Linked DNA regions of Bombyx mori. The protein of the gene in region 2 interacts with the protein of the main gene of each other region in a pairwise test. Links are inferred from orthologs where the notes say so. Each region holds a gene or a part of one and is shown on either strand. Other genes may lie near its edges.

Evidence for each region.
Region 1: the proteins of uncharacterized protein LOC101745013 (region 2) and heterogeneous nuclear ribonucleoprotein U-like protein 1 interact in a two-hybrid assay, tested with the Homo sapiens proteins (2 studies listed by BioGRID and IntAct). The link is inferred for Bombyx mori from reciprocal best matches to the Homo sapiens genes PRMT2 and HNRNPUL1.

Annotation. Positions count from the first base shown.
Region 1 is NC_085130.1:5,992,989-5,997,331, reverse strand, and holds the start of heterogeneous nuclear ribonucleoprotein U-like protein 1, read left to right. Parts: upstream 1-1,526; 5' UTR 1,527-1,750; coding exon 1,751-1,880; intron 1,881-4,343. Other genes in the region: dynein regulatory complex protein 8, read right to left, coding at 1-19, 525-638, 888-912.
Region 2 is NC_085125.1:5,641,166-5,645,578, reverse strand, and holds the start of uncharacterized protein LOC101745013, read left to right. Parts: upstream 1-1,511; 5' UTR 1,512-1,680; coding exon 1,681-1,734; intron 1,735-1,805; coding exon 1,806-2,042; intron 2,043-2,910; coding exon 2,911-3,104; intron 3,105-3,493; coding exon 3,494-3,705; intron 3,706-3,824; coding exon 3,825-4,056; intron 4,057-4,413. Other genes in the region: mitotic spindle assembly checkpoint protein MAD1, read right to left, coding at 28-200, 621-807. UniProt on the Homo sapiens protein: Arginine methyltransferase that methylates the guanidino nitrogens of arginyl residues in proteins such as STAT3, FBL, histone H4. Acts as a coactivator (with NCOA2) of the androgen receptor (AR)-mediated transactivation.

The DNA.
Region 1 (4,343 bases), on a different chromosome or scaffold from region 2:
GCTTCAGTTGGACAGCAACCTTTAAAAAACATATATTTAACGTCTCTTTTGCTATATTCAAAATTTACCATGTAAACAGTCTATTTAGTACTCAAACAGTTATCCGCTTAGAAGTTTCCAAAACAAAAAACGGCCTAAGGGTCCGTTCACACAGACCGGCTCGGAGAGGAGAGCACCTTCATTCCGACTATTCCTCCTAAATAATTTGTAGCGACTCGAAGACGTGAATAATCACTGTCATACTAAAATTGAGATATCTATTATCCTAAAAGGGTGAAAAATTGGAGCACGGAAAGCAAAATGATGACTTTTTTCATGCGTAATTACGTTGTAAACACGGCTATTGTATTCTTACGATATTTAGTATGATTTCGCGATACTTCGGCACTGTTCCAAGCGCCATCGGCTACTCGTGGTGACTCGTGTCTTTTAATTTACCGTGAGAGTCAGAATTTTTTAAATACTCTTTATTACACTAGTAAAGTATTAAAACATTTAACGAAAACCAGAAAAAAAAGCATTACCCAAAGATCGAAGAATTGTTCCTATTTCCCTTACATCTACGACTTGCTTCCCAGAATGGTCAAATACTTCGAAAGCTTCAATTATTTTTTTCTCCAAATCATTGTTTGGTTGAACTAGAAAGATACATTTAAGGTATATGAGATATACCAATATATGACATATATCAGATATTATACCAGACGTAATATCTATTTACCAATAAAAATGTTTGGTTTTGTTTAAATTTCAACTAATAAATGTATTTATGTATGTATTCATTTATAATAAAATTTAATGAGTGATACTAAATTACACAGTATTTACATCGCTCGTTTATAAATTATTAAATGTATATAAAGTAAATCTTTCAAATAATAACTAACTTTTAGGTTCCTCTTTTCTTGCCATAATGAACTAATAGTTTAATTATAAGATTTGTAACACTAATAAGTACACGTATTAAATTGAAAAAAATATTCCGTAACCAGGCAACACAACCTATCAGTTATCACTAGTGTCATCGACGAAGCTTTAGTTCTATTTTGCACCAGAGCTGCTGTAAGTTAGTATGTATATATGTGACGGATGCTTTGAACATGATTTTGACCCCCTTCAAAACGTAGACTGAAATCAAAATTTGACATAGGTACTTATCAAGGACCGTTGACAATGCAATATTTTAAACAGTTAGACCTATTATCCATAAATTAGTTTTTTTTAGGATTAGCTCCCAGTTTTAACAGCTCCTCCACAATATTGACAAAGCTTAATTCAACCAATGTACAAATTAATAGCTTATTGTTGACATGTTGATGTTTAATTGTCGTACCACATTCAAAAAATATTAGTTAAAAAAAAATATATACTTTAAAAAACACAAAAATATGCTTTTATAGAAAATCAAATAGAAAATAAATTCATTGTAAAAACAATCCAATCTATACTGATTAAACAGCAGGCTTCCAGACTTTTGAGTAGTATGGATAAGAAACCCTTGGCCTTTTGAATTTTACAACAAATAGCTTATTCCAAAAAATTCTGGAATCGCCAATCCCCACCATAGATAATATACCGCCATTTCCTTCCGTTATGCTGATGCGCCGCTAAATCGCCATTTTGGATTTAGTTGGCGCTTTTTCTGTCGTGAATTTTCGTTCAGATAGTAATAGAATTAATATTATTTAAGCACATGTGTTTTAAAAACTTTAAAGTGTTGTGAAGTGGATACTATCAGACGATTAATACAATGGATCCTGCTAAAATGAAGGTGGTGGACTTGAGGTCCGAGTTGGGTGCTCTCGGGTTAGATACGAAGGGAAACAAGCCGGCTTTGGTAGAAAGATTGAAAAAAGCACTCGAAGCGAAAACTGGAACAGGTTAGGATTTCAGATGTAATTATTTAATGCGTAATGTACAGTTTTTTAGTAATGTTGCTGAAATTGTTGTTAGGGACTTTTTTAATTACTGCACGTGTACATTTGTCGATCAATCATGGATCATTGTTGCACTGTTGTTTCCACTTTAAGAGATTTAGTGTGATTCTTAGTAACTTTAACTTCCGTAGTAACCATACATCAGTTTGCTGTCCCATTTAGAGATTTGCAAACACACCTATTTTAATATCTGACGCCAAAATCAAGGTTACGACTTTATTCACACTCAAGCATGAGATAAAATCGCATAAAAATCTAATAATTTATTAAATATTAATGTACAGCATCATTAAGTTTTCGAAGTATTTTATATGTTTTTACTGATACAACGACGCATATCAGTTATTGCAGTTATTCCAACTGAACAGTTCAAATCGTAATCGGTTTGAAAACTTCGACATCGATATCAATTTATGTATACACTGTTTTATGGGAAATTCATTCATATGATTATTCTTAGGCTTAATAATAGGTAAGAAGAGCTCGATTCTGCAAAGTAAAATAAAACGAAATTCAATCAAATCAGTTAAAAGCTTTTTTTGCACAAAATGTATACGTCTTTTTGCTTCTAATGTCCAGATATAGTATTTTTAGGTATAGAAGTAACTTTAAGGATACAACCTTGATTAATTAATGTTTTCCTCTAAGGTCTTCAACGAAATTATTAACTACTGTTATTTTATTTAAATTTGCTATCAGATAATATGTTGATTAGTATGAAATATTAAGACTAATATTTTCCAGAATTGTTGAAAAAAGCATGGGTAGCAAATTAATTTATTCATCACAGTCTTATAGATAACAAAGATAATATACAGAGATGGTTTTTAAAATAATAATTAAGTACCTAATCTACTAAATAAAAATAAATACCATACTTTGTTTATGATCTGTGTTTTAAAAGCAATGTTTATCATTAAATTGATGAAGATTACAATGGTCATATTACTGTCAACCTTATCTAAAATAGGTTGCATGCAATATGTTACAAACACAGAAAACTTATTATTAAATAATAAAATTAAGTAAGTTTGTTTCAACTTTATTTTGTCTGTGGTGGATGCTTAGTATTGCAACAGATATTATAGAGTTCAATAAAAAATTATGGAGAGAAAAAAACAAAAAAGTCTGAAATCACACTGTGGATGCAGAGAGAATTGAATGCATAAGTGGTATATGATATTTCAGGGAAATGAGCAGGACCCTAGTGCGACTTGTACCGGTGCTTTGCAAAACAAGTCTTTGTTCAGGTGCGAAATAATGCTTCATTCTGTTGAGGATTCCCAAATTTTACAAAGCAAAAAATGTCATGTAGTATTTCAATTACAATTAATATTTATTATCAGACTATAATAGAGTAGGTAATACCTAGAACATTGTTAATGAATGCAATGTTCGATTATTGTGAACATTTTAAAATTGTTAGTTAATATATAAAACATTTTCAACAACAACATAAAAACATTATTGAAGAAGTAATTTTTTATTTTAATTCCTTTAAAACACTAACAGAGTTAATATAAGAAAATCAACCATTAGAACTGGCCAGAGTGCTTAGTGTAAGTTTTTGAACTTCTCAATCATGTAAAAGTCAACTCAATTTTGTATGGGGTTGAAACAGCGCCCCTTTGTTTCTCGCTAAACGCATCAATTATGCGACTGAACAATTACAGCCCTTATGGAAAGTAGTTTTGTAGAACATACAATACTGTATTTAGGATAGTATATAGTATATATAGGGTTAAAATAATTTATTAAACTATTAATTTAATATCATAAAAAGAATGTATGTACTAAAAAAATTCATCTAAATTATGAAATTAGAGATTAAGAGAAAACAAGCAATGTAGTGATTAATTCACATGCAAAACTACTTCAAATGAAAACAACAGTGTTTTAAATCATTTTGTTCAAAGTAATCACTATGGTTGTCTTTACCATTTTTGTAAATAGTAATGAATGCATAAATAAATAAAATAAAAGGTTGAGTGCTGTTTGTGTAAACAGTAAAAAAATGTTATTTATTAAATTTCAACAAGCATATAATAATTTATGTACATCCATAATAAATAATTATACAGAATAAATTTCTTGTACATTTAGATTACATCATGCTTTATAGCTTGTTACCATCTGTACTACAAAAAATATTGTCACTGTATTTAAAAAGATAGTTAAAAAAAATTTGAGTTTTGAATAATTATTTTCCTTATGATTAATGCCAGAATGCTCTATATGCTTAAACTATTTGAAGACTAAATTAAGAATATTGATAAGGGATACACCTTAATCAATTTTTATTAATTTGGCTTAACACCCTAAATACACTTCGATAAAGCGGCACGACACGAGAACCCTCTCATCGTGGCCGCCGGTAACTACATTCCCGATCCTGCGGACAGAATC
Region 2 (4,413 bases):
AAAATATAAGTTTATGAAACACTGTACCTGTGCTTTTGCAGCAATCAGATCAATCTTCAAACGTTTTGTTTCCCATGGTGATGGTGGTGCTGTGGTTCCATTACCACTTGAGTCTCTTCTAAGCCTCTTATCTGGTGTCACATCATCTACGCTACCGATACTCGACTTTCTTTTACCAAATGTCAGTAGATTGGAGAGGCCTATTTAATGTTTATAAACTTATTAAGTTTTGACATTTTACTTCTGAACGTCTGCAGTTTATTGAAAAGGTGACAAACTTAACTAATGGTGATTCTGTTGTTAATAACAGAGGCAGAAATATTTATGAGATATTATTTTTATTAAGACTGAATGACTGACTGACTGATGGACATACATTGCCTTTCAACTATCCCTTTCAATCAATCTTTTCAAACTAACGCGAATGATTACGCTTGGAAAACAGAAATTTAAAAAAATCAACAAATTGAAAAACAGCGAACAATAGACATGAAAACAACGATCACTCGTCTTGTTTTCAATTTTAGGTTAAATGTATTTCTTGAACTTAAATTTACATTGTACCAGATGTCTCTCAAATGTGCTAACATTTATAGTTAGTAAATTATTTCTCACTATACCTTCTTTTATAGATTGAGTACTATCAGAAAAGTTTAGATTTGTAGACGCCGATAACTTGTCTTTTGGTGGTTCAGTGTTTATGACCCTACGAAATGGTTCAAGCACATCGCTGTATAATGACATATCACTTTCTTTAGCCATCTTCTTATATTGAGAAACATTTAATTTATATTCTCGATTTATCATAACCTATCTTAATATTAAATTTTATTTGTCATTTTGCTAAAAAGTAGCAATATTAGCGTTTAAATCTGTCTATGACCAACTCATAGACATTTTTTTTTGTACAATTTTTCCTCTATAAGAAAGGTAAGGGGATCTAAGCTCATACAGCCTACTCATAGACTCACTTTATTTGTAGAGATCACTTTTATTCGTTTCATCTATTTAACGAGCAAATGGAACCCTATAAAATGTTGAAACAAAACCTAAATGTTTGTTGTATTAAAAGTGTAATGGAACTGAATAAAATAAAATTTATAACGGAATAAATTAAATTAAAGTGAATGTGGTGAAATAAGATAGTGCCATAGATTTTGAACGAGATGAAATTTAGGAGCTTCTAAGTAGTGGAAATTCATGGAGAGTTGTTAGATTTTTTAGAAAAACTCTAGTCTTCATTCAGTAAATTTGCTTCATTTTTACAGATTTTAAACCGTCAATAAGCCGTTATGAAACTTGAATAAAAAATAAAACCACTGCTAAACCTAGACCTTTTTTGATAGGTTTTTTGAAAATTGAAGTTAGCTGCTTAACAAAGCAAAGCTAGCAAAGCTTTGAATCATAGTACACTTAATGACACGTCTTATTGTCTTATTTATGGTAAAAGGCTGTATGGGCTTAGATCCTCTTGCCTTTTCTAATAAGGAAAAATTGTACCAAAAAAATCTATGGCAAAGACTAGTTTCAAAGAGTATTTAACACTACGTCTAACTAGTTTGTGGATTGATTTCCGTACATCAATATTTTTGTTTTATTTGTTTTTCGATTACCTATCTATTTTTCATTGATAAAAAACGAAATATTTTGACTAGTTCGTAAGTTAAGCGAAGAAGTAAAATGGAAACTGAAGAAGTGCAGAACAATTACTTTAACAGCTATGAAGATTTAGAGGTTAATCTATAAAAAAAAAACTAAAAAGACTAACTTTACTGAATATTTTTTTATATTATCTAATTCAACAGGTGCATACATTGATGTTAGAAGACGAACCAAGAAACCTAGCTTATAAGAAAGCGATATTAGGGAATAAATGTTATTTCAAGGATAAAATAGTAATGGATGTTGGATGTGGCACAGGAATTTTATCTGTTTTCTGCGCCCAAGCAGATGCTAAAAAAGTATATGCCGTGGAAGCAAGTAATTTAGCGAATTTAGCTAGAGAAATTGTGAAAGAGAATGGTTTCGAAAATGTTATTGAAGTTAGTATTGTCCAAATTAAATTTTTATTATTGTAGACCAAACAGTAGTACACATTTTATTTGAAGCAATTTTTTAACATTTTGATCGTCCTGTGGAAATGACATACAGTAACAGAATTAATTTTGTTTGAATACACTGTACAGACTTTGTTGTGGGGGCATAAAGGTCAGTCTTTAAGGATCTCAATGGCAAGATTGCGAACAATGACCATTAAAATACTGTATTATGTGTATGCATAACTACTGAATCGAGTCAATAGAAATCATTAATGAGATATAATGTTGTAGCTTAAAAAAGAACCCAGGTTTACTTGTATACAACTTTAATAATATATCAGTGTTCAAATGCCGCAGACAGATACAGTCTTACCAAAGAAATATAAATTTAACACAAGCTCATAATTTTTAATCTGATGGAATAAATTTTTAAAATCACTCAAGGAAAAGGGTCTTTGGAGCCTGCAGTCTCATTCACCTGTGTGTACAACAAAAAAGTAACAAAGATGTCTAAAAAATTACCAAAAATTCATATTCAATTCAATTCATAATTGAAGCACAAATTATGAAACCCAAAATTTCCAATTGTAATGTCTTCTTGTGTATTGTAGACATCTATGTAACCATTTATTTGTTAAAACTCCATAAAAAAAGAAATAAAAAAATAGTTGAATACCAAATCTTGGGTTAAATCTCCATTAGCGTTTCAATATTACATAGGACTTTCGGTTTCTTCTTTTGGTATCATCAGTTGGTTGGTTTCTTCTTTTACTTCATATGTCTTTGTTCTGGCAATTTTTAGAAGTTTCAATTGTACAAGAACCACTTACTACAGACTGATATAAATAATTAAAAACTTTTTTTTTTCTAGATAATTCACAGTAAAGTTGAAGATGTAATATTACCAAATAACATAAAAGTAGATGTGATAGTATCTGAATGGATGGGTTTTTATCTATTGCATGAAGGTATGTTAGATTCTGTGCTAATTGCTCGAGATAAGTTTCTTAAGGAAGGGGGAGAAATGTTTCCTGAAACGGCTGTTATTTATGTTGCACCATGTAGGTAAGGCAAATTGTATAAATCCTAATATGACTTTCTTTTCATTATAATTTTTATAAAATAAACAGGTTAATGAGTTAAGGCCCACCTGGGCCCATAGACTTTACCCCCTTGAGACATGACATTAAACTTTCAATAATAATATACAATGGTTATCTTACCTTTCACACTGGAATGTACAACTGCTTTACAACAGGAGTCAACACAATGACACCAATATGTAAGGGTTAAAAAAAAATTTTCCTCCACCAGTAATTTTCAAGTTTATAAATTTTGTGGGTTCAACTATTTCCACAGTGTTATTCTTTTGTCATAGAAGTCAAGATGAAACACTTGTTGAAATAACATTAACAATTTGTTAGTATCTCTATACCTTCTGTTTCTACTTGCAGCATACCTTCACTATACAACAAATGGAACAATGTGCATGGAGTATCAATGTCTGCTTTTGCTAAACATCTTCGCAAAAACAAATCCACTAAACCAGAAATTTTGAATATAGAGCAAAAGGATTTGCTTGGTGATGAAGTAGCACTTTGCTGGATTAATTTGAGGGAAGACAGTGCATCTGATTTGAATGAATTCAGCATCCAGCATGTTGTTGGTATTTAATCTTTTTATAATGCTTATGTATTTCCATTAAAACACATCTAAGTTAAATGTAAAAGTTTCAATTTTTTTATATTTTGTTATTCAGTAATTGAGTCAAAGTCCCTATTTCAGGAGCTAAAAAATCTGGTTCTTATGAAGGCTTGTGTCTATGGTTCGAATGCAATTTTCCCAGTATGTCTGAAACGAAAGACGAGAATCGTATAATTTTGGACACCAGTCCAAATAGTTTGGCAACACACTGGAAACAAACAGCAATAGTATTACCACAGGAAGTGGAAGTGGAAGAAGGAGAACCAATAGCTTTCCAACTCAGCATGAAAAGGGATACAGAACATAACCGGAGGTAAAAATAGAAGGCTTAATTTTTTATTATATTTTAAGGTATATATTTAGCTGATAAAAACAAAAAGGGATCAAAATTAGACTACCATAGTTTGATCATTCAGTCTGTAAAAACAAATATGATTTGTTAAAACAATTATTATTTTAACATTTTGTGTAATCTAATACTTAATATTAATATATAATAATAATAATAATAATTTATTTATTGCTCTCTTAAAGGTACAAGGTACATACAAATTCAAATGGAAATAAATTAACCTTATAATTTATTTTGTAAGCCTTTGAAAGAGCTGAAGTCTGTACTAGGTTCAAAGACCTGTATTACTGATCTCCAGGCTCCCTCCTTCTTAAGATA